Linked DNA regions of Oryzias latipes. The protein of the gene in region 2 interacts with the protein of the main gene of each other region in a biochemical or structural test. Links are inferred from orthologs where the notes say so. Each region holds a gene or a part of one and is shown on either strand. Other genes may lie near its edges.

Region 1 (3,818 bases), on a different chromosome or scaffold from region 2:
TGACGACGTTTCTTTGGGCCTGAAGAAGAAGAAAAAAGACATTTTCAACACCAAACATGTAAGAAACTCCAAAGACGTGATACAAATATCTAAATATCTCTGGTAACTGCATGTGGAGGATTCATTGTTGTTCATTTCATCATTTAGTTTTTTCTGGTGGAGGTTTTTCCAAACGGAGCCGTCCGTCTGTCTGCTGGTCTGTAGACCTTCACATGATGCAGCCTTCAGCTCATTAGCAGCTGCTCCCGACCCGGCAGAACCTACAGTGCAGTCACATGTCTGTTCTGTGCTCCTGTCCGTCAGGCCCGACCCGGCAGAACCTACAGTGCAGTCACATGTCTGTTCTGTGCTCCTGTCCGTCAGGCCCGACCCGACAGAACCTTCAGTGCAGTCACATGTCTGTTCTGTGCTCCTGTCCGTCAGGCCCGACCCGACAGAACCTTCAGTGCAGTTACATGTCTGTTCTGTGCTCCTGTCCGTCAGGCCCGACCCGACAGAACCTTCAGTGCAGTCACATGTCTGTTCTGTGCTCCTGTCCGTCAGGCCCGACCCGACAGAACCTTCAGTGCAGTTACATGTCTGTTCTGTGCTCCTGTCCGTCAGGCCTGACCCGACAGAACCTACAGTGCAGTCACATGTCTGTTCTGTGCTCCTGTCCGTCAGGCCCGACCCGGCAGAACCTACAGTGCAGTCACATGTCTGTTCTGTGCTCGTGTCCGTCAGGCCCGACCCGACAGAACCTTCAGTGCAGTCACATGTCTGTTCTGTGCTCGTGTCCGTCAGGCCCGACCCGACAGAACCTTCAGTGCAGTCACATGTCTGTTCTGTGCTTGTGTCCGTCAGGCCCGACCCGGCAGAACCTACAGTGCAGTCACATGTCTGTTCTGTGCTCCTGTCCGTCAGGCCCGACCCGGCAGAACCTACAGTGCAGTCACATGTCTGTTCTGTGCTCCTGTCCGTCAGGCCCGACCCGACAGAACCTTCAGTGCAGTTACATGTCTGTTCTGTGCTCCTGTCCGTCAGGCCCGACCCGGCAGAACCTACAGTGCAGTCACATGTCTGTTCTGTGCTCCTGTCCGTCAGGCCCGACCCGACAGAACCTTCAGTGCAGTCACATGTCTGTTCTGTGCTCCTGTCCGTCAGGCCCGACCCGACAGAACCTTCAGTGCAGTTACATGTCTGTTCTGTGCTCCTGTCCGTCAGGCCCGACCCGGCAGAACCTACAGTGCAGTCACATGTCTGTTCTGTGCTCCTGTCCGTCAGGCCCGACCCGACAGAACCTTCAGTGCAGTCACATGTCTGTTCTGTGCTCCTGTCCGTCAGGCCCGACCCGACAGAACCTTCAGTGCAGTCACATGTCTGTTCTGTGCTCCTGTCCGTCAGGCCCGACCCGACAGAACCTACAGTGCAGTCACATGTCTGTTCTGTGCTCGTGGCTCTGGGTTGGTTTGGTTCTGATCCTCTCTGACTACAGAAGTGCTGTATTTGTACTTCTAACAGTTGTTAGGTTTCAGTTCTGTTCTTTTCTCCTTTAGAAAGTCCGGCCTGTTTCAGCGGCGGCGCTCATGGGGGGGGCAGCAGCTAAAGTGAGGCTTAAATGAGGAGGAGGGTGGTGATAATGGCTTTCCTCACCTCTCCTCGTGGGTGTTGAGGGTTGTCCGTGTCCACACATGTGGCCCTGCACGCCGCTGTGTGCCTTCCAGAAATGGCAGCTCCCATTTCCTCTGCTTCAAGGCCCTAATTAACCACATGCAGTGGGGGGGCAGTGAGAGATTTCAAAGGATTGAGCTTTTAGATTCACAGAGCTGAGCTCATTAGAAACTGTAATGACACAACTGGAGAATGCCAAGTGTGGGCCTTATCTTCTTCTCACTACTGATGGCAGAAAAATGGTCATCATTACTTTGCCAGTTCACGGCCGTTTCCAGGCCTTTGTCAGCAGCTGCACATTATCATGCAGTGGCTGTGCGCCGCTGTGAAACAGGAGGAGAGGGTACGCTCACACGCTGGCACGTAAAACAACATCCACCTCTCTCAGGTGTGCAGCGTCTTCCCGCTAATGCCGGACATTTAATCTGTGGCCAATATTCGGAGTGGGTCTGTGTGGCCCCACAGTAGCCCCAGTAGTGGTGAGGGAGGCGATAAGAAGTCCAGCTCCAAGCCGGCCATTGTCTTTCTGCAGCGGCGGAGGCCTGAGCGGTGCACGGGAGTGGAAGCTGATAAGTGTGGTATTTTAAAGAAGGTGAAGGCTTTTGCAGCTCTATCCGTCTGGGGGAGGACGCCCGGCGCTAAAGCGATAAAGTGCTCCCTCATTAAAAACGATTACAGTTCCTCTCATACCAGCGCAATATGATCTGCGCACACCGTGCCACGCCGCTCCGTCCAAACAGATTGTCCTCAAAGAGCAAAGCGGGGCTTGAGCTGCATCCTTGTAGCGGGGTTTATTAGCCGGACCTTTCATTTTAGAAAAAGGCGGCCTGGCATTTCCCCTCAGACCAGATCCCCCTTTTGCCTGTGAAATCTCAACAGTGGGGCCACATGCAGATCCTGTGTGAAGGAGGAAGAGGTGTCTCATTATGCTGCTTTGTTTTGCAGGGTCACAGTTCAGTCTCATTAGACAGCCAACCTCCTAATTCTCTTGGAGTGACGCTGACAGTTTGAGAAAATACCGTCTGACACTGACGAGCAGCCACATCCCAGCAGCTCTCAATTAGCCTTCATTAGAAACGCAGAACAGCAGACAAACACTTGACATTTTGGGCCAACACACCTAATTAGTCTGTTCTGTTTAATTGGTCTAACGAGCGAACAAGAAGGCCCGTCATTCCTCTTGATTCTGTTCATTCCTGCTCAGCCTGTGAGAAATGCTTTCCCTGTTTTACTCATCAACTCTGCAAACTGAAGCAGGAATGTTCTGCGGCTAAATGCGACTGTTTTGGTGTTGGAGGTGGTGACGCAGGGCCGCGCCGAGGCCTACAGCAGCCTGTCCTTTGAGGAGGTGGTGCAGGAGCTCATCAAGCAGAAAGAGGTGGTGAGAAAGAAGGACGCACACATCAGGGAGCTGGAGGACTACATCGACAACCTCCTGGTCCGTGTCATGGAGGAAACGCCAAGCATTTTACGGACGCCCTACGAGCCCAAAAGGAAGGCGGGGAAACTTTCTAAGAAGTAGGGAGGAGGAAGCAGAGGAGCGTCTGAAAACCTGAAATGGTTGAATTTTACGAAATGGGTGTCTTTTTCTTTTTTACCTTTTTTCTCAAAATGTTGGGTTTTCTAAATCTTCCATTCTTCCTGTACCTCTTTTGTATGATTCCACGAGTTACTCTGCATTTATGGTGCAGGAACAGCCTTTAGCTAACTCCTTAGTCGGACCATCTAAGGTTTCATTTCAAATGAGAAATCGATTTGACCTAATGATACGCCTGTTATCATGGTAAGAACATCTATGACAGTATTAAACGGCAGCATGATGGGACATTTTTCTGCAGAGAAACTGGCTGTAAAAACACTTGGAGGTGTGAGCACTGGAACTTTGTGAGTCATTGAGGGGAAATGTTCCTGCTCAGGGAGTTCTGTACAGCCTGCAAGGGGAGTGTCATGATGTGGGCTTGCTTCAGGTGCTCATTGACACTCGGACTATGAAGAGCAGATGTTTCCTCGATGGAGGAACCTCACTGAGAAGTGGTACGGACAGTGAACCCGGCGGTCTGGTTGTCCGGTAGAAGAGCGCTTTGTGTCTCAGCAAACGTTCGTTGTTTGTTTCTGAATGTTGTTTTTGTGTTTTTACAAATCTTACCAGGTTCATGTTTTCCAGCTGC
Region 2 (3,918 bases):
ATTCCAGTGAATTAGCACTTAGACACACCTGACCCAGGTAAGCAGTACCTGCAGTGAATCAAACGATCAGAAAACCAAACCTTCAGGACCAGAACCACAACCCTCCTCCAGATCCAGGACCCAGACAGATCCTGATCCTCAAAGAGTTCCTCCCTACAGGTCCTGGTCGGCCCACAAACACCTTGAAGCATCAGAATCATGAAGTCCGCTTTAGTCCAGTGTGTCCAACATCCAGGTTCTGCTGATGGCTGGGGGGGGGGGGGTGTCTTCATTCATTTTATTGCAACAGTAAAAAAATCAAACTTCCCCAGAGGAAGAACTGAAGCTCAGTGTCTAGAAAACAGAACTTCATTACCCACAATGCTCTGAGAGCCCCACACCTGTGCTTTAAAAAAGGCGCTTTTTGCATCCGCTTGCCCCAACCCCCCCACAGAATTTCTGCTCCGATCCCCATCCTCAGCCTCAGAGTCCAGGTTCTGGTTCTGACAGAACCTCAAGTACGTACCAGAACACGAGGGGGGGGGGGGGGGTTGTACCCCCACAGAGCAATGACGTTTCAGTCCAGAGCGGAACCCGCCTGTGGGTCCGGTACCCCATGAGATTTAATGCAACCTTAATGCCCTGGGTGGTGGGGAGGAGGGAGGGGGTATCAGAGCTACAGACCCCCCCTCCCCAAAGCCCCCCTCACCCCACACAGAACAAAGCGGTACAGCGCTGCCTAACGAGTTACTCTAACTTCCGGTCACCATCCTGAGAGTGACGTCACCGCTGTGAGCGACAGGTGCCGCCGCTCCGGGAGCTCTGACCCGGGAAACGAAAAGTTCGGTTCGGTTCAGTCGCAGAGTAACTTCCGGATGTCCAAGACGCCCCGCAGCCGGGGGTTGGGGGAAGGGGGGTGAGGGTGTTTCTCAGGTAAGACTCACCTTCGTGTACAGGTCGTTCACGGACATCGTCTCGTCCAGATCCGAACCGCTCTGGAACTAAGAACCCATGAGACCCTAAGACCCGGTTTGGGTCTCGTCCACGCAGCCCGCAGCAGGTGTCCGCGGGAGTTTCGGTCAGTTTTTTTTCTGACAGAGAGGCTGTGCCGCTTCGAACTGGACCGTCGGTGACTCTTAACAGCAGCTTTTATCAGAACCGGACCGTAAGAAGTCCAGAAGAGGCGCGCGGCGCAGGTGTGGAGGCCGGTTCTTCCTGACAGCCGTGTTTCCTGACGCGACATCTGATTGGCTGAAGATGCGCCAGGTTTCCGCCGCGCGTGCGCGCACGCAGCAGTCCCGGGGTTACTCCCAAAGGCGGGTCTGTTGGGTCAGAAGCTGGCAGTGGATAGGACTCTCGGGGCCCCTGAGCCCAAGAGCCCCGCCCTTTTCTCAAGGCGACATCCGTGGGTTTAGACAGCGCGCGTGAGGCACCCGAAACTCCACAGACGAGCGCGCGCCTGCCACACATTGGCACGATCACGTGACCTGATGTTCCAACTTTCAGGAAAGTTAACAAAAGGAGCCTGAGGAACACCGCCCCCTGGCGACCGACCAGCCGAATTGTTAATTCGGGACAAAAGCAAAGCTGGAACTGGACATGTCCCTGGCGGCTTTCTGTAGGAAACCAGGACCGAACCGAGGCGGATTTTCTGGACCGACGCTTATCAAACAGTTGATTCTAGCATTTTGATTTGAACTGGACTGAATAGAGAAGGACGCTCATGGTCGTTTCTCACAATCAAGAGCACGTTCTCCCCAAACGTCTTTACACAACTAAAAAATGACCACTTCCCACGGTGTGTGTGTGTGCTTACCTGTGTGTATCTTTGTGTGTGTCTAAATGAGTGAACAAATAAAGGTAGCTGCTGTTAGAGGATGCAGAACACAGGGTTAGATGGAGGAAGCTGATTGGCTGAGGGGAAACGCTAGGAAGAAAATTTGTGTAGATGTCTGTATCTTTGTGCGTGTGTGCCTATTTACCTAAATGTGTGTTTATCTTTGTCTGTGGGGTGTACATGTTTTGTGTACCTGTGGGTGTGTTCCTGTGTGTGTGTTGTGTTCCTGTGTGTGTATTGTGTTCCTGTGTGTGTGTACCTGTGGGTGTGTTTCTGTGTGTGTGTTGTGTTCCTGTGTGTGTGTGTCTACCTGTGTGTGTGTGTGTGTGTGTGTGTACCTGTGTGTGTGTGTGTGTGTGTTCCTGTGTGTGTATTGTGTTCCTGTGTGTGCGTGTGTGTTCCTGTGTGTGTGTATACCTGTGTGTTCCTGTGTGTGTGTGTGTACCTGATTGTGTGTATACCTGTGTGTTCCTGTGTGTGTGTATACCTGTGTGTTCCTGTGTGTGTGTACCTGTGTGTGTATTGTGTTCCTGTGTGTGTGTGTGTTCCTGTGTGTGTGTGTTCCTGTGTGTGTGTGTGTGTACCTGTGTGTGTATACCTGTGTGTTCCTGTGTGTGTGTGTACTTGAGTGTGTGTATACCTGTGTGTTCCTGTGTGTGTGTACCTGGCAGTAGAGGTTGTATTCCACCTTCATCCTCCGTCTAGAGCGTCTGCTGCTCTCAGACGGTCTGAGCTCAGACATCAGGCGAGTCCCGCCCAAACCACACCTGCCACAGGTATGAGCCGTCATCCCGCCCTGACCTGAAAAGCAGAACGGCGGCTGTCGGGTCCAACCTGTTAAAACAGTGACGAGTGACGCGTCGGCCAATCAAAGGCTTTGTTCCATACGATCCGGTGTGAATCACAGTTGTGATTTGACTCCACCGAGTGAAGATCAGAACCAGAACATTACAGTACAGTACAGACTTTGAGTGGGCGGAGCTTAGCCTTAGGCTGACTTAAAGATGGTGGTGCAGAGGATGCAGGTGGAGTGTCCTCAAAACGCTCTGCTGGTGAGTCAGTCCAGACAAACTCCTGTTTTATTGGAGACGATTTTAGGAAAAACGTGTTTATCTGGTTGGAAATCAGAAGGAATCTCTGTATGCCTCTTCCTGAATTCTGTTTTAATGCTGATGTGGATCCTCAGACACAGCTCCACCTTCAAAACAGGCCAGACATCAAAGCGGACCACTGAGGAGGACCCACTCTTCTGCGTTGAAAGGACCAAGAATCCGCTCTGATCCAAAAGCAGGAAGAACCGAACTTTGTGGTTCGTACACTGGATTCTGTTGATCTTTCTTTAGTTCCTCTCTGAATCAGACGCTGTGATCTGAGCTCTGATGAGGTTCTTCTTCTTTTCCAGGAGCCGTTTTTCCTCACAGAGGAGGGCCTCTAAGGTTCCAACAGGTTAAATCACACAGAATCTCATCAGACTTTGATGATTTTATTTATGAACTGAATGAACCCCTCAGTGCCGGAACGGATGCCTGCTGGTTCTGTGGGACTCGGGTTCTGCCAGAACCTGGTCTCTCCTGCGGTTGTAGATCTCCTCCAGGAGCAGGCCCTGCCGATGCTCCCTGTCCTCCTGAGCCTTCCAGACGCTGCAGAGCTGCTGCTGCTCCGCTATCTGAGCCTGCAGGTCGTCCCGGTACGCGACCGCCGCACACCTCCGGCTGCAGCCCGCCATATGAAACAGGAAGTGATGTCACACATACACAGGGTTTCTTTCATATGACAGGACAAGAGATCTACCTTCTCTTCTCCTCTGCCTCCTTTATCTTTGACTCCTCTGTGGCTCTACAGAGCTCCTCCCTCTCCTTCTGAAGCTCCGCCTTCTTCTGCCGGCTCTTATCCACTATGAGCACACACACACATGTACGCACACGCATGCTCAGCCTCAGTCAGAAGCTGATTGGTGGAGGGAACGGGGATGAAGAGGAAGGTTCTCACGTTTGTTCTGGATCTGGAGGCGCCGGGCCTCCATCACCTGCTCCATCAGCAGGTTTCTGGCCTCCCGCTGCAGTCGACTCTTCTCCTCCCGCTTCGTCCAAACCTCACGGAGC

What was found.
Region 1: the proteins of myo5b (region 2) and rab11fip2 form a complex in vitro, tested with the Homo sapiens proteins (2 studies listed by BioGRID). The link is inferred for Oryzias latipes from reciprocal best matches to the Homo sapiens genes MYO5B and RAB11FIP2.

Annotation. Positions count from the first base shown.
Region 1 is NC_019873.2:30,137,243-30,141,060, forward strand, and holds part of rab11fip2 (rab11 family-interacting protein 2), read left to right. Parts: coding exon 1-58; intron 59-2,595; coding exon of another isoform or gene 2,596-2,661; exon of another isoform or gene 2,662-2,947; coding exon 2,948-3,172; 3' UTR 3,173-3,818. UniProt on the Homo sapiens protein: A Rab11 effector binding preferentially phosphatidylinositol 3,4,5-trisphosphate (PtdInsP3) and phosphatidic acid (PA) and acting in the regulation of the transport of vesicles from the endosomal recycling compartment (ERC) to the plasma membrane.
Region 2 is NC_019870.2:391,501-395,418, forward strand, and holds the start of myo5b (unconventional myosin-Vb), read right to left. Parts: upstream 2,731-3,918; 5' UTR 2,607-2,730; coding exon 2,481-2,606; intron 1,440-2,480; exon of another isoform or gene 951-1,439; coding exon of another isoform or gene 924-950; intron 1-923. Other genes in the region: cfap53 (cilia- and flagella-associated protein 53), read right to left, coding at 3,324-3,528, 3,608-3,710, 3,806-3,918. UniProt on the Homo sapiens protein: May be involved in vesicular trafficking via its association with the CART complex. The CART complex is necessary for efficient transferrin receptor recycling but not for EGFR degradation.